Linked DNA regions of Coturnix japonica. The protein of the gene in region 1 binds, or shares a complex with, the protein of each later gene. Links are inferred from orthologs where the notes say so. Each region holds a gene or a part of one and is shown in the gene's direction. Other genes may lie near its edges. The genes, in order: CHCHD3, APOO, IMMT and MICOS13.

Region 1 (5,355 bases):
GATCTGGGTAGCCTGGGATGTTGGCTGGCAACCCTGCACAAAGCAGGGGGTTGAAACTAGATGATTATTATGATCCTTTATAACCCCAGGCCATCCTATGATTCTATGGTTTTCTGGGGCTGGTGGTAACTGTGTTAACTCTGTTGCAATAGGTTTGATTGCTCTTTTCATCTCCTCTCAAATTGCTGGGAAAGGTTTATTCTGATTGTTTCATCTGTTTTCCAGCTCTGTATCAGGGACCACATTTGGGTTTATGGTGTGTCTGGAGACCAAAAACATGATCCCACTGCAGAAAAGAAATGCTGTTTTATGAGGAAGTTGGATGGTGAGGCAGGGAAGAATTTCCTTGAAAAAACTTTCCTTAAAAACAACAAACTGAGTTCTCCTCAAGAAACAGACAGAGCTCTGTGTATACCCATAGTGCTCAAAGATGCTTCATACTTATGAATGATCTGTGCTTGATATGATTTATGAAGTAGTGTCCCTAAGACTTGTGGAATTTGTGTATTTGGATTTTGAAGCTTGAATCTGAAATAATCTGGAATTTTAGGTGAATTCGTGCTCAGCTGTTTTAAGAAGCCTGTAATAATTTGGTACAGGGATTTCTCACAAAGTGATCGTGTTTACATCTCTTAAAATGAACTTAGATAATAAGCTTTTGATGTAAATCTCCCTCTGTCTTCCATAGACTGAAACAAGAACAAGCGTATGTACGTGATGAGTTTGGCAAGATCCTGGAACGAGAAAGGATTTCTTCCAATGAGCATTTGACTCGAGCCATCATTCGTGAGAGAGCTGCGACAGAAGAGGAGCGTCAGAAGGCGCAGCGCTTTGTAAGTCCAGGATCTTGTAGAGTGCTTGGATTTCTGAACATCCATCTCTTCAGACTTGTTTCAAACTATCAATACAAGCTGAAAGCTTATGTTGTCTTGTGATGGCTTTTTTTTACTGGTAAATATTGTCATTTCATTTTACTCTAAATTTTCCCTGTCTTAAGGACAAAAAGAGCCAAACTCTACTGAAGGTTACAAGTGTAGTTTGCCTCCTTGTGCCTGGGATAATATGAATATCCTTCTCTTTTCAGAGGGAGAAGAATAGTATGGTAGAAGACTAGCAGAGTAATAATAGAATATGATTGAAGAATAGTATGGTAGTTTAGGTTAAAGGGAAGTTCTTTACTGTGAGAGTGGTGAGGTGTTGGAACAGCTGCACAGAGAGGCTGTGGATGCCCTGTCCATCCCTGAAGGTGTTCAAGGCCAGGTTGGATGCGGCCCTGGACAACCTGCGCTAGTGTTAAATATGGAGGTTGGTGGCACTGCATACAGCAGGGGGATTGGAGCTTCATGATCCTCGAGGTGCCTTCCAACCCAAGCCATTCTATGATATGATTCTATGAGTCTGTTTACTAACTTGGATTATCACAGAGTTGCAGAATACAAGACCCTCTTCCATAAGTTAATTACTTTCATATTTCAAGGAAGTCCATAATATTCCTCAGTTGAAAACTGGCTGTCAGCAAGGAATCGAGAAGTGTAATTTTGAAGTCTCGTTCATGCTAGAAAACAAAAAGAATTGTCTAACTCTTGTTGATTGCCTCAAACTTGGTACTGGTTTAGTGAGAAATGGCGTATCAAATAATCTTATTTTAATAGAGCTGTTGTACAAAAGCTTCTGGACAAAGAAGTTATAAAATGCAGCTGCCTGTTTTCTTTTGAAAACTGACAACTGTATATTTCAGGCCATTTCAAATGTCTGTCAAATTCATAGCTTCCTATCTAACATTTCCTTGCTATCTTGAGTCTGTATTGAGCTTTCCAATAACGATAATCGTTGTGCTCTGAGATATGAATATCACTTAGGATTTCTTTTAAGGTTGCCAGAGTATAAATGATTAACAGATAGGTGTTTTCAAGAACAAAAGTATCAAATCACTTAAGTGAGCATTCATTTTAAAATAAGGAGGATTAGTTATACCAACATATATATAAATGTTTGACATAAATATATGTTTGACTCTGCATCAAAGATGAATTCAGAGCTTTCTAAGAGCTATTGGTGGGTAAGAGAGGCAACCAGTCACTTCAGTAGCTTTATCTATGCCGTGCAAATACAAATCTATTGCCTCTGCTGTCTTTCCAAACCATTTGTGGTTTAAAATTTAAACAAACTAAAAACAAACAATAAAAATTATTAGATTAATGCTTAATATTTTGTTATTTTTATATCTGGGGGGAAAAAGGAAAATGGAGGGGAATTATGTCTAAGATATAGCTTTAGCCTTATGCCTTTAAACCTTGGGCTGTTAATGTGAGGAATGGATAAAAGTTTTGAGGTCTCAACCTAATGGAGAACCGAAGAGTTATGTTGTGGTTTAATATTTGCTTGACTTAACTTGAGCTTTGCATCTTTGACTTAGTGCTGTGCTTTTGAGAAGTATGTGATGACTTTCTCATCATCCAAATGCCTGAGAGACATCTAATTATGATATGAAATGGGTGTATTTAGCTATTAAGTTAATTGTATCATCAATTTTCACTTATTGCCGAATTTTTAAGGTAGAACTGCCTACCTGAAGGAATCACCTGTGAGGTCTTAAAAGGTCTTGAAGTTCTCTGGTGAAGTTCTCTATATAATTTTGATGAAACTACTGCAATTTTTTGTGTGTTTGTTTCCACCATAGTTTGTTATTGTTTATTCGTCTAATGTATCCACGTTGTATTTATAAGATTTGCAACACGAGGATATGTCTATGTGCTCCATTTGTCAGGTGGGGTGAAGGATCCCATTTGCTGGCTAACTGTGAGAGCTGCTTGATTTTTTTATTTAGCCCAGATTTGATCACATCTGTCAGATTCTTTATTGGAAAAAGAACTGGTGTTTAGGAAATGTCAATAGCATTATCTTCAATGTTAATTCCTTTGCTGCTAAACTGTTTAAATGGTGAGCAGGAAAAGATACGGTAAGACAGGAAGAATATTTTTATATAAAGGCTGCTAATTCAGCTTTAACAAGCAGACATTAAACTGTTAGATATTGAAGTAATATTTCCCGGTCTTAAACCATTTAAAACCAGCTGGTGCTTAGATTCAGACAGGAAACTTTTAAGTATTAGAACACCAAAAATGGGCACTGGCTCTTCATACAGATGAAGAAAATTGGTAAGATGAAGCTGAAGCTGACAGCTAAAGGAGTAGAAGCTTTTCAGGTGATAAGGAGAAAGATGTCATTTGTCTTTTTAAGCAGAAGTATTCCAATTTTCAACAAAGACGTCTAAAGGAATCCATCTGAGCTTGGACAGCAAGTAAAGCAAAGGAGTGTACCCTTAAGAAACCTGGAGATAATTTTTAAGTGAGCAGAATGAGCACATGTCAGGCTAAATGTTAAAAAGCAAACCTCCCAGAATCAAAGAATCATGGAATTACTCGGGTTGTTAAAGACCTCAAAGATCATGAAGTCCAACCGCAGCCTAATCATAGTACCCTAACTCTAACAGCCCTCTGCTAAATCATCTCTCTTATCAAAATATTAAGTATGACTAGAAGGGTTCAGTCACAGAATCATTGACTGTCCCAAATTGGAATGGACACACAAGAATCATGGAGTTCAGTTCCTGGCTCCACACAGAACCAACCCAAACCCAAACCCTACATCTGAGCATGTTGTCCAAATGCTTCTTGAAGCTCTGGGCAACCTGTTTCATGCCCACTGCCTTCTGATGCAGGACCTATCCCTAACACTTCGGGCCCTATCATAGAATCATAGAATGGCCTGGGTTGAAAAGGACCACAATGGTCATCCAGTTTCAACCCCCTCCACCATATGCAGGGTCATCAACCACCAGATCAGGCTGCTCAGAGCCACATCTAGCCTGGCCTTGAATGCCTCCAGGGATGGGGCATCCTCAGCCTCCCTGGGCAACCTGTTCCAGTGCGTCACCACGCTCTGTGTAAAAAACTTCCTCCTGATATCTAACCTAAACCTCTCCTGTCTTAGCTTGAAACCAGGGGGAATGTCACCAGAGAGCAGAATGTGTGTTTGCAAGCCCAGAGTTCATGGAACTGAAATCCCAGCAAGGACTGTAGAGTCAGAATATCACTGGGGAATGGGATCTGTGATCAGGATAGATGAACCCACAGCAGCAAAACAATTCTGAATTAATTCTTTCACGTGTGCCTTTAAAGAGAAGGAACTCTGGAAGCTGCCATACCACAAGTTTTCTTTGCAGAGATTTCGTCAGACAAAGCCATTGATCTGAAGATTCAGTAGAAAACATTAGGGAAAATTGATGGTTTTACCAGCTACAGCTCTTCAAGCCTGGGTGGTATTCATCAAGGCTTTGAAAGAAACTTGATGATAGATGAGCTAATGATCGCTGAGCTACTTACATGCCGTGTAAGCTCTTAGGGGAAACTCTCTCAGTACAAGGTGGGGAATTGGCTGATGGGTTACCAGCCAATGTTTCATACTTCTGACTACTCCAAGAATACTTATATGGTGTTATGCAGGCAGCAGACCTATGTTCCTTTCCACTGTTTGTGACTGGAGACCTTCACTAAGCCTTGTGAATGGTTGAGCTGGGCACAGTGTTGTTGAGTGCCTTTAAATGCAGTAGCTTTGCCATAAACAGCATATTGATGTTCCATCATGATGAGAGCCACGGTGAGACACAGAGAACATGAAGGAAAAGATCAATAGTTATCCAAAGTGCAGAGGACCTGTTGTATTTCCATCTCCTTGTAATGACCTGGAGTTTACTGTTAACATGTTCGCTTCACTGTCTGGACTGAAGCAAGCTGTCATTAAGACCCTATACGTTAGAAAATGGTTTTATTGAGCTGCCAATGACATTAAAGTCTCATTTCCCTTTGAAGAGGCACAGAAATATTGTTCTGTTCATTTGCTGTAACCATAACATTAAAATTTGATTACTGCTATCATTAGAAATCTGTATCCATACTAATATAATTATATATATTTCCCCAAGTATTGTTCCAGGCTTTCACAGAAGTACCTGTTAGAGAATGAAGTCTGCTGTTGCTGAAGTATTTTCCTGTTGTGTAAATTATTTGCTGTGTGAGAGAGTCTATTAATAAGCTCCGTGCTCAAAAAGTCAAATTGGCAGAAGTATCCTTACTTGAGAAAGCAGTTTCTGCACTTCAGGTGTATGTGGTAATCGAACTATTGGATTTCTGAGGTGCAGAATTCGTTTTTGACTTTTCTGAGCACTGAAATCAATAGACAAAATACATTCCTTGATATGTCAGAGCCGAAGCACTTTGAGTTATGGTAGGAGTGAGTTTGACCTGTTGTCGTAATTGAATACATACTGCTAAAATGGAGTGTTTCCCTCTTCTC
Region 2 (5,870 bases), about 110 Mb from region 1:
ACCATGCAAGATATAGCGCAGCACATAGTGGTTACATTCTCCAGCAGTTTCCTTTGTATGTGCAGGTGGGTAAGTCCCATAGATTCTCACTGTTAGAAGTGTGTGTGGATACTGTTAGAAACATTAAAATACAGTCCGTATTCAGGTAAATAAAGTGCTACATTTTGTGTTTATACAGATAGATACTGAAGTCAATACCTCATACAAAGATAAATACTTTCTCCTGCTAAGAAATTCAGCATTACTGTGAAAGTAACTTTTTAAGAACAAATTTGATGTAGGAGACCAGTAACTGTTGCAACACATTTTACGTGTAACCAGCTCAATAGAAATGTGAGATGCATTTGATTTTGAAGAGTTGGATTTTGTTGTGGTGAGTGCAAAGAAACATCAAAAAATACCTGTTAGTTTCTGTTCTCACTGCTACTAGTAGTGCTCCAACTGTGCACCTCTAAGCTGACATCTCTGCTGGTAGTATCAGCTGCTTGTTAGCAGAAGAATTATTCATCAGTGCTGGGATGGTGTAATTCCAAATGTGGAACTCGAGCTACTGATGGCTGCAGTAAGAAGTCAGAGACCTGGATTATGGAAGGAACACGACAGTGTTTAACCAGCGGAGCTATCAACAGTGAAACTCAATTCAATTGGATTACGCTCTTTTTGCAGGATACGTTGATCTGATTTGCCTGTCACCGCTCAGGATTTAGACAGCACCAAGTATGTTTTGGAAGCTGTTAGAACGTGACAAAGTTGATGACACAGCATGTGCTAAAATGCAGAAGTGCCTTTGATGCAGTTCAAGGTAGGTCAGTGGGAAGCCACCAAGAAAATTGCAATAGCATCCGTCCTTTAGTTTTCAGTTTAGTTCTTCAATGTATTGCTACAAACCCTGTAGCTTCCAAAATAGCAACTCTGAGAAGCATTACATTCAGAATGCTTTAAAAAATACTCGTGTTTAAGAATGGAAAGCAAAAGTTCAAGGTAAGTTTAACTCCAAATTAAAGAAAAAAGTTTATAGAAAAGCTATTTACCGAGGAGAGGGAAAGGTGCTGCATGCGAAATTAAACTCTAGCTTGGTACAGATTCTTACCTAACATTAGAAACAGCCATGAGGTGATCGGACCAAAGGCCTTTATTCTTTAGCTTCAGATGCAGAAACTTCAGTTTTGTTTAAAGTCTGACAGCTCTTTGTTCTTCAGGTATTTACGTTTCTATCTGTAATTGCTGTGTAGTCACTGCATATCAGTGAATCACAGAAATATGTATTTGTATCATATATACCATTGATGAATAAAATACATCAAAAAATGTGCCTGCTTTGCAAACTGCCCAGTCACTGCACTGCTCACAAAGCTACCAAAAATACTGGAAACCACCTTTCCAGAAATGTTTGCCGTACTCTGATGGCTTATTTCCCCATGTGTATCACTGACTGCATAAGTACAATTCAATGGTGGAAGAGACCCATTTGTATTCTTTAATCACAGGTCATTTAGACGCAACTAAACATCAACCAACATTTTAGATACAACTCTTGTTAAAGAGGGAATGTTTACAATCAAACCTGTAATAAGAGATTTAAAAGCATTTCTTACGTGCATATCATCTTTCACTTTAGTAATACCTGTTATCTGTTACCAACGCCTGTTAATAGTTTTGGTACTGAAACACATACCACTGGTTTGAAGTATTTCCAATATCCCATTAACTCACAAGAATCACCTGCTGCCTGTAAAGTAACACAGAAAAAGATGATAAAGCTTTAAAAAGATAGGCACAACCTGCAGTCTTCTTACTTCACCTCTTATAGCTCCTGACAATAGTTGAATCTATCACCGAATAAGGACTGTGCTATTTTTACAAACAGCACACTGAGAAGCACTGTCCAGTTCCTATTCAGTTTCCTATTATCCATGCTGAAATTCTCCTGCCACAACTTAAGGCTGTTATCTCTAATTCTGTCATTAGTTACCAGGGCTAAGAGCATCCCGCTCCCAGACACATCGCAGACCCCATGTTGTTCCGCCCACAACATGGCGGTGGCGGATACACGCAGGCCGTGTCGTAAGCACCCAGCGGCCGCTCGGTGATGTGATTACAACGCGACGACGCGTGGTTCTCCATCATAGCTGCGACGCGGTTGGCCGGGGTATCCGCAGCCGGGTGGCACCATGCTCAAGGTGAGGAGCCCTTAGTGGCCGTCACTGCCTGTCACTGCCCGCCCGCGTGTCTGCCTGCTCCGCTGTGGAGCCCCGGGGCTGCTCGCCCCCACTCCTCAGCCTCTCTCCGCGGCCCGGCCCCGCGTTTCCCTCTATCCCTCCTCCGGGTTCCTCAGCCCCAATGGAGCCTCGCAGCAGCGAGGAGCCGGCGTGTCTGCGGGCGGGAGGGAGGGAGGCGCCGGGATCGTCAGGGGGCGGCGCAGCGCGGTGTGTCCGGCAGGGGACGCCCTAAGAGCGGTACCGGATCCCGAGGCGGGCGCGGAGCTCGGCGCTGCCCAATGAGCTCGGAGACCCGCGATACGAGACAGCACGTTATTTATAGCTCATGGCACTGCTATGGCTGTGTTATGGCTGCCCGGGGCGGCTGTGGAGTCACTGTCTTTGGTGGTGGCGGTGGTGCTCTTGTGAGGCCCCATCTGTTGTACTGTGTCCAGGTGTGGAGCCCTCAGTACAAAAAAGACATGGAGGTTTTGGAAAGGGTCCAGAGGAGGGCCACGAAGATGATCAGGGGGCTGGAGCACCTCCCCTATGAGGACAGGCTGAGGGAGTTGGGCTTGTTCAGCCTGGAGAAGAGAAGGTTGCGGAGTCACCTCATTGCAGCCTTTCACATATCTGAAGGGAACTCTACTCCCAGGAGTGGAGTAAACTCTTGGAAAGGGCTGACAATAGCAGGACACAGGCGAAATGGTTTTAAGTGAAAAGGGAAGATTTAGGTTGGATGTTAGGGGGAAGTTCTTCACTAGGAGAGTGTTAGGCCCTGGAACAGGCTGCCCAGGAGGTTTGTGGATGCCCCGTCCTTGGAGTGTTCAAGGCCAGGTGGACGGGGCCCTGGGCAAACCATCATCTAGTAAAGTGTGATGATTGGTGGCCCTGCCAGGCAAGGGGGTTGGAACAACATGATCCTTGAGGTCCCTTCCAACCCGGGTCATTCTGTGATTCTGTGGTGGTGGTGAAGAGCCGTGTAGTTGTGTCAGTAAGGGATGTAGTTAGTGGGCACAGTGCGGGCAGGTTGGATTAGCTGCTTTGTCTTTTCTTAATGATTCTGACATTCCTGATTGTATTTAGCACCTTCATACGCTACGGCAAACATCAGCCTTCCCAGAAGGTACGGTGAGGGAGCCTTTCTGTTGTTTTCTTTCCCGGGCTTTGACAAGCTGATAATAATGATAACAAGTGAAACACGAAACCACAGATGTGAGAAAAAATATGGCACGACTTCTCTTCCATCACTTGTTTTGAGAACTAATATGTGATTTATTCCTCCTGTTGGCATTCTGTGGTTAAGAACTCGGAGGAGGGCAGTATGGAGCTAGGAGGCTGCCTAGAGAGATTGTGGATGCCTCATCCCTGGGAGGGTTCAAGGCCAGGTTGGATGGGACCCTGGGCAGCCTGGTCTAGTATTAAATGTGGAGGTTGGTCACCCCGCCTGTAGCAGGGAGGTTGGGGCTTGATGATCCTTGCAGTCCCTTCCAACCCAAGCCATTCTGTGATTTCATGATCACTGTTGGTCCCTTCCACCTCGAGGTATCCTGTATTTCTTTGAAATGTGGTTATCTTTTCCACTCAAAATTGACTTAGGAATGTTTTGGTGTCTTCAGGTAAACTTTATTCTTTTAATTAGAAACAACAAACAATATATACATATATATTTCATTAAAGTAAATACAGAGCACTGCCCAGACAGAGCCTATTGTACTTCTTTTTTGTATCAACTGAACAGCTGTAAGATAGGCAAACTGAAGGCACAGCTCTACTGAAATGTGACACTAAGTGATACTAAATGAGTTGGTTTGACAATACAAGGTTAATATGGAACTAAGACATGAGGTCCAAATGTAGGCTTTGGAAGCAGGAGGCAGAACTGCTCATCTCTCACACTAGTGAATACAAGATTTATTGTGCTTGTATGTGTATGTGGTATTTGATTATTGGTAGCATCTGTTCTGGGAATGTACTCAGTGTGGAGGGTCATTGCTGTGTAGCTTGGATGGTACATTAAGAAGAACTTGATCTCAGACTTGTGATGGTTAACATGTAAATGTGAAGTGGTCAGACTTCCTGCGCTTCTGTGTTATGATTAATATGAGCAGCAGAAGTTTTCTGTAATGTTTTACTGAAAGCGTATTTCTCTGAATGAAAATGCATTTAAAACCTTTGCCTTTTCAGTGAGAGAACAGCTTTGCAGTGAAAAAAAAAAGGCAAGAATGAGGAACTATGTTCTGCAGTTCTGAATGGTTAGTGGTGTTTGTGCATCTTGGCTAATGGGAGTATGTGAAAAGTCTCTCAGCATCACCACTGCAGATTGATCCCGTCTTTCCTTGGCTCTGAACAGAGCTGCCCCAGTCTTTGTGGTGTTCCATTATAGTGCTGTAATAACGTGTCCGTAAATACAAATACAGAAAAACTTCACCTTTAAGTAAGTTTTTCCGTACCTTTTGATCCATCAGATCCCTCATGTTTTATTCTGAAAGCGATCCTATGACCTGGTTCCTGTGCTGCCTTCTCCTTCATCCCCCTCTGGCCGCACAGCCCTCTGGTGCTTGTCAGCACAAATATGTTCATGAGTAGGTTCAACTTGCTGACCCCACACCAAGCTCTGCACTTGTGCACGACTGGCCAATGGCCAAACGGGTCGGGTTGGTTGCATCATGATAGAGGTGTCTGCCACCAAAACAAGACTGCTGGGAATGGATGCTGCGGGCAGGGCTAGGCTGAGCTGTGACTGCTGCACAACTGAAGCACGGGCTTATCAGAGTAGAAGTGAGAGTATGTGACACTGAGAGGTTACTCCTACAAAGGCAGGCTGCACTCACCTGCAGTGAACAGGGACATCAAAAGCTGGATCAGAGTGCTTGGAGCTCCATCCAGCCTAACCCTGAGTGTCTCCAGGGATGGGGCATCCACCACTTCTGTGGGCGACCTGTGCCAGTGCCTCACCAGAGAAGCTGTGGTGCCTCATCCCTGGAGCTGCTCAAGGCCAGGTTGGATGGGGCCCTGGGCAGCTGAGCTGGTGGGGGACAGCCCTGCCCATGGCAGGGGTTGGGGCTGGGTGGGCTTTGAGATTCCTTCTGTGATTCTGTGTCGTTCCTGAGATTGTTAGAAATCGATCTGATGCTTTCAGTAACTAGAAATAAAATGTTGAATTCTTTGGTACTGAGTGCAGGGGGGAAAGAAAAGAAAAGAAAAGAAAAGAAAAGAAAAGAAAAAAGAAAAGAAAAGAAAAGAAAAGAAAAGAAAAGAAAGAAGAAAGAAAAGAAAAGAAAGAAAGAAAAGAAAAAAAAGAAAAGAAGAGAAGAGAAGAGAAAAGAAGAGAAAAGAAAAGAAGAGAAAGAAGAGAAAAGGAAAGAGAAAAACAGTAAGGGTGCTATGGATACTCATAAAGTTGTTTAAAACATGAATATCATATTGTTAGAATTGATACTAGCAAGGTTGACAGATGTGGGAGAAAACAGAAGATCTCTCGTGAGATGAAAGCTTTTACAGCTACTCTCTCCTTTAGTGTTAGGCTTTTCTAAATATCATCCTAATATTCGAGACGTTATCATATGGGTGCCTGACAGCATTAGATGTTGCACTGCTGACTTCCCCTTCTCTCCTGATTTCCGTGTTAATTTATTGTTCATCATCTACTGGGCCATATATATGGTCTAT
Region 3 (5,355 bases), on another chromosome or scaffold:
TACCCTGCAGCAGTTTTCAGCTGCATGTTCTTCACTTGTGATCATGGAGGCTCTTAGTGCCTTCCAGGCACCGAGTAAACTTTAGCATCACACAGACTGCTCAGACTGAAATCCTGATCTGCCCAGTTATGGCTCTGACTCAGATGCTTTTGTTCTTACCTTGTGGCTTTGCACGATGGTTACTGAAAAATGAATACTTTCTTATTTTTGATTCTCAAGATACAACAAGGTCCACTGAAGATCTCATCTGTAGCAGAAGTAATGAAAGAATCCAAACAGCCCGTTCCCAAATCCCACACAAGCAAAACAGAAGCTGTTGCTCCTTCAGAGGAAAAAGAAGGTAACCTTATGGAATGTCACACGGAGAGAAGCAGAAGTGCTAATGTTCTCCTGTACCGTACATCCCACAGCAGATGGAGATGGGCTTTGGGGATGGTTGCAGATGTTTGTGCTGTAGTTTTGTTGAATTAATATTATTGATCATAAGGAAGTTTGCCTAGAAGGGCTTGAGCCATTTTTGCTTAGTTTTCAATTAAGTTTATTGACCTTAGAGTATTTGGAATCTAATATAAATGACTGCACTCCATAGTTCTGCATACAAGGCTCACTTTGGGTGCTGGGCTCTTGAGATATTCTATTTCTTCTTCTTAAGCAACTGCAGTATGCCTTAATTGGGATAATTGCTTGAGCTGCTTGTAAAGCCAGATTAAAAGGAACATAGAGAGTCACAGTTGGCATCTTTGTTCCCTTATCTGTCATGTCAGGTGAAGATCTGCGTGTGTGTAATTAATGCTGTCTCCTTTTCTGTAAATAATAACATGAATGTCCCAATGAAGTTCCTCCAGAGGAAAAACCCAGTGTCTGTTATTTCCCTGTTCTCACTTCAGTGCATGTGCATGTTTCAGTTCTGTAACTGTACTTAACAGCAGGCACAGCTGCAGCACAGATCATCTCTGCAACAGGGGTAGCCGCGTCAGTGCCAGCTCCGGGGATACAGCCTGAAGAAGGTGAAAAAGATTGCACGAATACCACATAGAACATCAAAATCCTGTCGCTTCAAACACATGGATCTGATGCTTAAATAATCTGCTTTTATAGGTAAAGAACATGAGGGTTCCCATGCTATAAAAGAACGATCGCCGGACGAGGTCGCGGCTCGTCTTGCCCAGCAGGACAAAGAGGAGCAAGAGAAGATCGCAGGTGAGCCCATACCTGGAGTTCTGCTACACATGCTGTAAGGGACAAAAGGATTGTTCCCAACCTCTTGTGAGCCACAGAAAATAACGTAAGGAGACACTTGAGATATAATGAATCACTTCAATGATGAGGCTGCAGTTAATTCCAGTATTTTCTTTCCAGCCCTTGCAGCAACACTGGAAGGAGCCCTGAGCTCTACGGCTCGTGTAACACTGCAGGCAATTACTGCACAGGAATCTGCTGTGCAAGCAGTGAATGCGCACTTGCAAATACTGAAGGAGGCAATGGACAACTCGGAGGTAAATTGGGCAGCTGGGGACTTGTGTTCATCGTGTAACTAAGGATAAAGTCTGAGGTTTAATGTTTGTCACAGTTTTACCTGATCTTCCCACTTGGGAAACGTTGTAGGGTTTAATAATAAAGTGCTTCTGCTTTTGACATGTCCCACTTTGTGTAGGACTGCTGCTTTCTGTTGCAGAGGGTATAATGGAGTGGTCAATCACAATGTCAAGGTTCAAAACCACAACAAAAACGATAGAAAGAAGAAATTCTTAAGAGCTTCCAGCTGTGTTGTTATTATCTGATGGGTAATTTTGTACCGTGGGCATTGTGATAACACTAATGATCGATCTGTGCTTGTCAGACTGCTGGGGAGAAGAAATCAGCTCAGTGGCGCACTCTGGAGGAGGCTCTGAAAGATCGAAGGAGGGCAGTGGATGAAGCTGCTGATGTCCTTCTGAAAGCCAAGTGAGTTCTTTGTATCTCCTACCCATACTTAAATACAGTGCTCCTTAGTTCAAGTAAGACTGAAGAAAACAATAACCCATAATCCTTCTAATATCATTTTGGATCATTTGATCATTATTATGCCTATTGTAAGAATTCAATTTGCTGCACTCTGGGTCTGTTGAGTCAATAACATCGTTGGCTTCTCCTAGCTGTGATGTAAAATTAAGTCTTACAGCACTGTTTGTTGGTTCCATTCTTCAGCAGAGCCACTCCTAAGGCTGGCTATTTATTAGATGTGTGCTCATGCATGTATGTGGTTATGCAGTAAGACCTGTATGTGTTATAATCAACAGCTTCATTTCTTTTCAGAGAAGAGTTGGAGAAGACAAAAGGTGTAATTGAGAATGCCAAGAAGGCTCAGATCCCAGGAGCCAAACCTCACATCATTGCTGCAGAGGAAAATCTTCATCATATGATAGTTGACTTGGACAATGTAGTGAAGAAGGTAACACTTCCAGCTGTTCTTCATCATCATTAGAACAAGGACTGATTGGCAGCTTGTGAGACCCCCTTTTTCCACGTCCTTTATAGCAGATCAAGTATTTCTTAGTTTAAATGCTATTTCTAAACACAATTTTCAGCTATAGTCAGTCTTTGAGCTGTGTGTGGTACCAGTGAGTTGTCTTGACAAGGACTTTGCATGAAAAGCCTGAACTCTGTCTTGGAACTCTGCAGCCAGTTTGTTCAGTGTCTGCTCTTTCCTTGGGCAGCTTTCATTTCCTTCTTTCTGATGCTGGACTTGCAGTTCCTTCTGTCTGATGCTGGACTTGCAGTTCCTTCTGTCTGATGCTGGAGTGGAATTAGGAAGATGAGACAAACTATTCAGGGTGCTGATTGGCGTAGTGTCCTCTCACTGAGTGTATCCAGTTGTTCTGGTGGTGGCTCTTGTGCAGGGCATGGGAGACATAGGGTTGGATTGCTGAGATTACTTTTTAACCTTGAAACTTGTTTCTTTGGATCTGGGGCACACCTATAATATTCATCAGGTTGGGGAGGAGTCTGCTGATGACTTTGTGGGTATATCACTTTATGGCTCAGAAAACAGGATGAAAAGTAAAGTTGAAATCATGCCCTTTTGCAGGATAATGGATTGCTCTGATGGAGGAATTTCAGTGGGGAATTTCTCTGAAGTGTGGGAGTACAGAACGCAGTGAGGGTTGGGCAGCTCCCTGCTGGGGCTGTGATGGCTGCATGCTGCTCTGATGGTAGAAAACATTCTGTAATGAAGGTGTAGAGCTGGATATCTCTAAAGGAACATATTGTGTTGGTTTTTTCTGAGCTACAGATTGACTACAGTATTACAGTGTGCGTGTGAAGAAGTGGATCTGTGTAGTTGGGGTAAATAATTACTGTGTATAAGAGGCTTGATGTCACAGGGCAGCTTTTCCCCAAGTGAGGATAAAGATCTCTGCCACTAACTCAGGTTTGATCTCAGATGACTTCAGTCTCCTTGGAAGATAAGCCAGTCTCCTTTTTTGTTTGTTACAGGTTCAGGCAGCACAGTCTGAGGCCAAGATCGTGGCTCAGTATCATGAACTTGTGGCTACGGCAAGAGAGGAGTTTCAGCGAGAACTCGAGAGCATCACCCCCGATGTGCAGCCGGGCTGGAAGGGGCTCAGTAAGTCTGCGGCGATGGCAGTCAATCGTAGAGCAGTTCATAGAGCAGCTGTAACAATGCCTGCTTTCAGGATTCCCTGATTCTGAGCTCCCTGATTCTTTCTAGATAACTGAAAGAGTGAATTCACTGCTCTTTAAATACTTCACTTATCCCAGTGTGTTAGTTCTAAAGGAGAGTGACACAGGAGTTGATCTGGAGTAACAGCCAGTGCTGCACAGAAGCAGTAAATGGCTGCGTGGTGTTTTCCAGCTGCTACAGTTCTTTGCCTGAGGTCTGACATCTGGCACACTCATGTTTTTGAGGTGCTTGGGTTTTTCAGCTGGAGCTCCTTCCTGCTTTCCTTAGAACAGATAAAAGTGAAGTGAGAAATGTGATTCAGAAGTACAGTTAGAATCTTTCTGCCTCAGTAGAGGGATAAATGTATTACTCAGAGTTGTTGGAAGGTTCAGATACCACCACAGTGTGATTGCAGGCAGGCAGGGAAGGAGTCAGGCTTGCAGTTAAATTCTTATGGCTAAAGCAAGTCAGCTCATCCTCTGTGATCCTCTTTCTTAATGGTACTTAATGCTCTAGAAATGTGAATGTTAGTCCACAAACTCATTTTCAAAGCTAAATGAAAACACCAGGCCTGTGTAACACATGGGGTTTTTGTTCTGTAAGAAGTTGGGAGAACTTACTAGGTTGAGAAACTGCAGTTTGCTGTGCTGTCTCTCTTATGTTCAATCTTCTGGGATATTAGTTCTGAAGAAAATGGGATTTGGCATCTGGAGATGGAGCTACCATTTCTAATGCAGGATAAGGGGAGGACATCCTGAGTATTGTGAGCACTGCACTGTTCTGAGAGAGGGAACATCCCGGCAGCTTCCAGGCGTTCAGTTTCACACCAGTGTGACCCTACTTAGTGTACAGGACTGACTCGATAGTGACTCTCACTGCTACCTGGGAATTTGTCTCTTACCCAACTGCTCGTTTGTAAGGACCTGGAAATTCTCAGTGTCCTGTTGCACTTCTTTACTTGTATTTCTCGCTTTGACTGAACCTAAAGGTTCATCTGTGGGTTTCCAAAGGCAGCTGTAGTGGTGGGGATGTTTGGGTTACATCTTGCTTGTAACAAGGAGGGATCTCCGGAGTCTGTTCTTGAACTCCTGCAGCCTTGGATCACTCTAGACCAGAAGCTTTTAGTTGTCCATTGTACTATTGCACGACTGACTGCTGTAGTGAATGTGCATTAACTTCTCCAACCTCTCCTCTTTCTGTTGCAGACATAACTGATCTAGGTGAGTTCCTGTAACTTTTTCTGGTCTTGTGAATATTCTCTCTTTCCTCTTTGTCCTTTTTGATGTTTGTGTGGTGCACCACTTTAATTACATGCACTATCAGCAAAGCAGTGAAAAATATCCCTGCAATATTTCAGACTGGGCTGTGCTTTGGGATCCTTGCCGCTAGTTCTGTATGTGCTGCTTAAACCAGACTTTGTCTAGCAGCTCTCACTTGCCAGGTGAGTGTGGTTTGCATTGGAAAGCCACGCTTCCACTTGCTTTGTGTATTTCAGCCAGTCACCAGCTGCTGCTGAGATCCCAATGGGAAACAGAAATGAATCCATCCTAATCAACAGTGGTTAATTCTAACTGACAGTGGTTTGCTTCAACTTTGGGCCTGATTGAGGCCGGCTCCTGCTGATACCACCAGCACATCTGGGTGCTCTGAGCTGGGTCACCAAACTGAGGGACTGAATTTGGATTTAATCTTCA
Region 4 (4,610 bases), on another chromosome or scaffold:
CTGCCTGCGGTTGGACACGCCGCGCTCTGTCCGGTGTTTCCGCCGGTTCAGTGGCTGCTGTAGTTGTAGAAGCTTTGCAGCACACGCGGGTTGGGCAGCAGCACCCACAGACCGTGAACGTGGCGCAGCCACCACGGGTAGAACAGCTCCGGGACGCGGGAACAGCCCCCGCGGATGATGGACAGCGCCGCGTCGGACGCGGGGGACGCGGACAGGAAAACACGGCCACTATGGGACAACGGGCGTCACGGCACCGAACACACATAGACACGTATAGATACACGTATATACACGTATATATACGTATATACACATACCGGGTCTTCTCCAGCGCCGTGTCGGTGTCGATGAGGCCCAGCACACACAGTGTGATGGACACGTTCTTCCTCTGCATCATCAGCTCGTGCCGCAGGGACCCAAAGAATCCATCCAGAGCGAACTTGGTGGCTGAGTAGGACGTGGTGAATGGGGTGGGGATCTTCCCTGGGAGATACAACGGGCGGTGGGGAATGAACGGCAACGGAGAAACAGACACGGCCCTGACCCACCCCCTGCAGCTGGATGGAGCCCTATGGATGGAGCCCTATGGATGGAGCCCTATGGATGGAGCCCTAAGGACATCGGTGCAGCCACACACTGACCTGAGAGGGAAGAAACCACCACCACTGAGCCCTGGTTCCTCTCCAGGGCCGGCAGAGCGGCTGATGCCAGAGCAACGTAACTAAAGAAATTGACCTGGAGGAGGAGGGGGAGGATGGAGACAGAGAGAAAATGCTTCGAGTTCAGTGAGAGCTGAAAGAAACAGAGCAGAGCTGAGAGGGAGAGTGGGGTGAGAATGGGAACGACAGGAGGAAAGGAAGGTTAAGTCAGCACAACACTGAGGTGAGTAGGGGAGGCTCCAAAGTATCAGCCTAGAAACACACACACGGTTGCCCTCGGCTGCAGGCAGAGCTCTGAATCTGCCTTCGAGCCCCTCCAGGTTGTCCCAGGAGCAGCAGAATCACAAGAACTGCTGGGAATCCTCACCTGCATGAGCCAGCGGCTGTGCTCCACATCCCCGCCCCACATCTCAAACGGGGAAGTGCCGATATGGTTCAGCACGAGGTAGTCCAGCCCTCCTGCGGGCACAGACAGCAGTCAGTAAATACAGGGGTAAATACAGCAGATATTTGGCTGTGCTGCCATTCTTGTCCCGCTTACCCAGTTTTTGGACAGCGAACTGAACCACCCTGTCGGGCTCTGAAGGTGAAGACATGTCAGCTGGGAGGTAGAAGACTTTCTTTGCTCCGAGGGTCAGACATTTCTCCATCACCTGCGAAAACAGCGCTGTGCCAATGGCTCAATGTGAGGTGGGGGGGAGGAGCAGCGATAAGGAGCAACATCGGGCTGCGGTGCTGCCCCCTGGTGGGAGAAACACGCGCTGCAACAGCGCTGCTGGGCGACAGCAACGGGGGAACCCAGCACAGGGGAACCCACATGGGGTCAGTGCAGGGGATGGCAGCACAAAACAGCCACAAAAGCCCGAAGCCCAAAGCCCGAGTCCCCGCCGTTCTGTTCCCTCCTCCCTCACCTCCCGCAGCGCCGCCTCCCTCCTGGCGGTCAGCACCATCTGAGCCCCATAGGCCGCATAGCGATAAGCCAACTGCTCCCCGATCCCGGCGCTGGCTCCGGTCAGAAGCACGCGGGCACCGGAAAGGAGCTCTGAGAACGGGACACACGGACACAGATACAGACACACAGACGGACACACGGACACAAGTGTGCGGGGAAACGGGGCACGAAGCGGCGGGTGGGGGCGGATGGAGCCGCTGCTGCAGCCGGGGCCGGTTGTGGCCGCGCTCACAGCGGGGGCTGCGTGTGACTGAGCGGCCGTTACCGAGTGTCGGACCGTGATACCTGCGTGGAACGGGTCGTCCCTGCAGCGCAAACACAGCAGCGCAGCCAGGAGCCCCGCGGCACAAAACAGCTTCGTGATGGGAACCATCGTGTGCGGGACGGGACGGGGCGGGACGGGAACGAGCTGCGGGAACGGAACGGAACGGGATCAGTGATGGGGGACGGGGGGAGTCCGAGCGGAACGGGGCGGGATGGAGGCGATAGAACGGGCTGCCCCCCCACAACGGGAAGGTGTCGGACCGGGTCAGGCCTCATCACCCCGTTATCTCGCTCATCTCCCATCATGTCGCCGCTCACAGCGCCACGTTCAGCGGGTGCGGCCCCCACTCCCCGCCCTGCGGCCCCCAGCCCCCTCACTGCCCGCCCCGACCCCTCACCCCAAGATGGCGGCGGCCGCAGCTTCCTACGTGCGCTCGTTGCCGTGGTAACGGTTGAGAAGGAAGTGGTTCTCCACTCTTCCGGTCACGTGAGGCTCCCGGCGGCCCTCGCGGCGCTGCCCTTGGTGCCGTCATGGCCGCCCGCATCGCGCCGCTCATCCGGTCAGTGACCGCGGTCAGACCCGGGATGGGAGGGACGTAACGGCGGGACCGAACCGAACCGAGTCACTGCTTTGGTCCCTGCAGGTTCGCCATCAAGGGAGGCCTGGCCGGAGCCGCCGTGTACGTGTCGTACGATCAGGGGCTGCTGGGCAGCGGGACCGAGGGGGCAGAGGCCTTAAAACGGGCCCGGGAAGCGCTACCGGCTGCGGTGAGAGAATGGAGCGGACACGTGGGATGGGAGGTGAGAGGGAGATAAGGGAGATAAGGGGAGATAAGGGGGGAGATAAGGGGGGGATAAGGAGCAGCATCGGGTCTGTTTGGACCCACAGTGACAGGGAGACCCTGAAGGAACCAGCAGCTTTTCCATATCGGATCCTATTATAAGCTGTCACGTATTTCCCCTCTGCTTTTACTGCAGCTCAGAGCCCAGAGCTCACTGATGCCCATTGACTCTCATTGATTCTCATTGATGCTCATTGATGTAGCACCAAACCCCTTTGGGCTCCGTGATCCCCCTGCCCCCCATTGCTGCCCTTCTTTCTTTCTTTCTTTCTTTCTCTCTGCAGCTCCCACCCGTTCCAACCTTGGATTTCTCCCCCTCGGATTCCTGGAATAAAGGTAAAATCCCATTTCATTATTTGTGGGAAGGGGCCAGTGCTGCAGCTTGTCATAGAACCACACACTGGCCGGGGTTGGGGTTGGTGCCACAAATCAACCTGCCATGTGCCTCCATTGCTGCTGTGCTGTGCTGACTGTCCATGTCCCTTACAGGGGTGCACACGCTGATGTCTGCCCTGTCGGTGGCTCCCAGCAGAGCGTGTGAATACACGGCTCAGGGCTGGAACTACCTCAAGGATCTCGTCAAGTGAGCTGAGCACATCCTCTGTCCCGCTCTCATTCTGTCCGTCCCGTGCTGCTCCCACAGCTCAGCCACAAGGGCTGCAATAAAAGACTTTGAAGTTCTGGTTTCATTGGGGTTGGTTTTGACAAATAGCCCCCATTGCTCCATGCCTTCATAGCAGTAGGTGCCTCAGAGACGACTGCAGCCGTGAACTGTAAACTGTTTTTTTTTTTATTTATGGAAAATGGAATGCTTCATTAACAAACAGTTTTAAATGAGGATATGAACAACACGTTACAAAACAAATGAGTTCACATTGGATCGAGTGACGTCGTATGGCAGCAGCTTAAAAAAGAAATTCCACTTACAGTGACCCACGAGCTCCAAGGGCCGGACACCCCAGGGACAAACCAACTGCAGTTGCCACGTAGCGTTAGAAATTAAAACATTCAGTAGCGACGGTTGAAGCGAGGGTCGTTGGGTCGGCTCGCTCGCTCCTGGCCGGCAAATCCCTCCCCTTGCATCCCCCCTCCGTGCATCAGCTGACTTTGGTTCCCTCCTTGCATGAACCCTCCTCGCCTGCAAAGTGGGGCAGATGGTTTGGGGTTGGTTCTCTCCAATGAAGCACAGGAATATTCTGTCATCCCTTGACATTTCAGTAACAAATTGTGTAACTGATAATCCCCTAAAATTCTCACTTAAATGCAAGGGACTCACCCTGAAAGGAAATGGAAAGCAAAGAAATGCTCTGCTCTTTTTAAGCTTCTTACCCTGACATGCCTCCACGGTGCATCACGTGGCCAGGTCTCCCTCTACCTCCACCTATAAAAGAGTGAGAGTGATTCCTCTGTGCCCACAGGAGCCGTTTTGCTTTGTGTCCATGCAGGGCAGCTTTACCTTGCCATCTCTCGTGATCCCGTCCCATCATCCCTCCATCCACGCTGCTCTGCCATGAACGCTCTTGGTGCCCTTCAAATTTCCTCCCGTGGTCCCCCCAGTCGCGGCCATCCCTGCAGGAAGAGCCTGAGTTACATCTTTGACACCTGGCACTGCTGCAGTGCAGGAGTGAGCTGGAAGAGCCACTGGTGTGCAGGGCAGGGAACGGGCTGAGGAGGGAGGTGTGTGAAAAAGAATCACGTCAAAAAGTGCATTTCCAATATTCACAATCTGCACAAGAACTGACCGTGATGGGGGGGGGATCCCTCTGCTCTCACTCATCCTCCTGTCGGAGCCGTAGCTGCCCCAGCTCTCCCGGGAGTCCCGTGAGTGGCGCTCGGGGCCTCCATGGCGCTCATCTGGGTAATGCTGCAAGGCAAAGACACGTGTGTGAGCGC

What was found.
Region 2: CHCHD3 (region 1) and APOO share a complex: the UniProt entries of both Homo sapiens proteins name them as parts of the mitochondrial contact site and cristae organizing system (MICOS) complex. The link is inferred for Coturnix japonica from reciprocal best matches to the Homo sapiens genes CHCHD3 and APOO.
Region 3: CHCHD3 (region 1) and IMMT share a complex: the UniProt entries of both Homo sapiens proteins name them as parts of the mitochondrial contact site and cristae organizing system (MICOS) complex. The link is inferred for Coturnix japonica from reciprocal best matches to the Homo sapiens genes CHCHD3 and IMMT.
Region 4: CHCHD3 (region 1) and MICOS13 share a complex: the UniProt entries of both Homo sapiens proteins name them as parts of the mitochondrial contact site and cristae organizing system (MICOS) complex. The link is inferred for Coturnix japonica from reciprocal best matches to the Homo sapiens genes CHCHD3 and MICOS13.

Annotation. Positions count from the first base shown.
Region 1 is NC_029516.1:1,845,779-1,851,133, forward strand, and holds part of CHCHD3 (MICOS complex subunit MIC19), read left to right. Parts: intron 1-688; coding exon 689-833; intron 834-5,355. UniProt on the Homo sapiens protein: Component of the MICOS complex, a large protein complex of the mitochondrial inner membrane that plays crucial roles in the maintenance of crista junctions, inner membrane architecture, and formation of contact sites to the outer membrane.
Region 2 is NC_029516.1:107,450,964-107,456,833, reverse strand, and holds the start of APOO (MICOS complex subunit MIC26), read left to right. Parts: upstream 1-2,077; 5' UTR 2,078-2,171; coding exon 2,172-2,180; intron 2,181-5,870. UniProt on the Homo sapiens protein: Component of the MICOS complex, a large protein complex of the mitochondrial inner membrane that plays crucial roles in the maintenance of crista junctions, inner membrane architecture, and formation of contact sites to the outer membrane.
Region 3 is NC_029519.1:77,504,182-77,509,536, reverse strand, and holds part of IMMT (MICOS complex subunit MIC60), read left to right. Parts: intron 1-219; coding exon 220-340; intron 341-926; coding exon 927-1,007; intron 1,008-1,098; coding exon 1,099-1,200; intron 1,201-1,359; coding exon 1,360-1,496; intron 1,497-1,840; coding exon 1,841-1,944; intron 1,945-2,295; coding exon 2,296-2,431; intron 2,432-3,474; coding exon 3,475-3,604; intron 3,605-4,866; coding exon 4,867-4,881; intron 4,882-5,355. UniProt on the Homo sapiens protein: Component of the MICOS complex, a large protein complex of the mitochondrial inner membrane that plays crucial roles in the maintenance of crista junctions, inner membrane architecture, and formation of contact sites to the outer membrane.
Region 4 is NC_029543.1:714,314-718,923, forward strand, and holds MICOS13 (MICOS complex subunit MIC13), read left to right. Parts: upstream 1-2,328; 5' UTR 2,329-2,406; coding exon 2,407-2,435; intron 2,436-2,519; coding exon 2,520-2,676; intron 2,677-3,001; coding exon 3,002-3,053; intron 3,054-3,206; coding exon 3,207-3,304; 3' UTR 3,305-3,404; downstream 3,405-4,610. Other genes in the region: HSD11B1L (hydroxysteroid 11-beta-dehydrogenase 1-like protein), read right to left, coding at 48-228, 318-483, 642-735, 1,027-1,118, 1,201-1,312, 1,571-1,701, 1,897-1,984; scaffold attachment factor B1-like, read right to left, coding at 3,726-3,855, 4,047-4,098, 4,174-4,286, 4,460-4,581. UniProt on the Homo sapiens protein: Component of the MICOS complex, a large protein complex of the mitochondrial inner membrane that plays crucial roles in the maintenance of crista junctions, inner membrane architecture, and formation of contact sites to the outer membrane.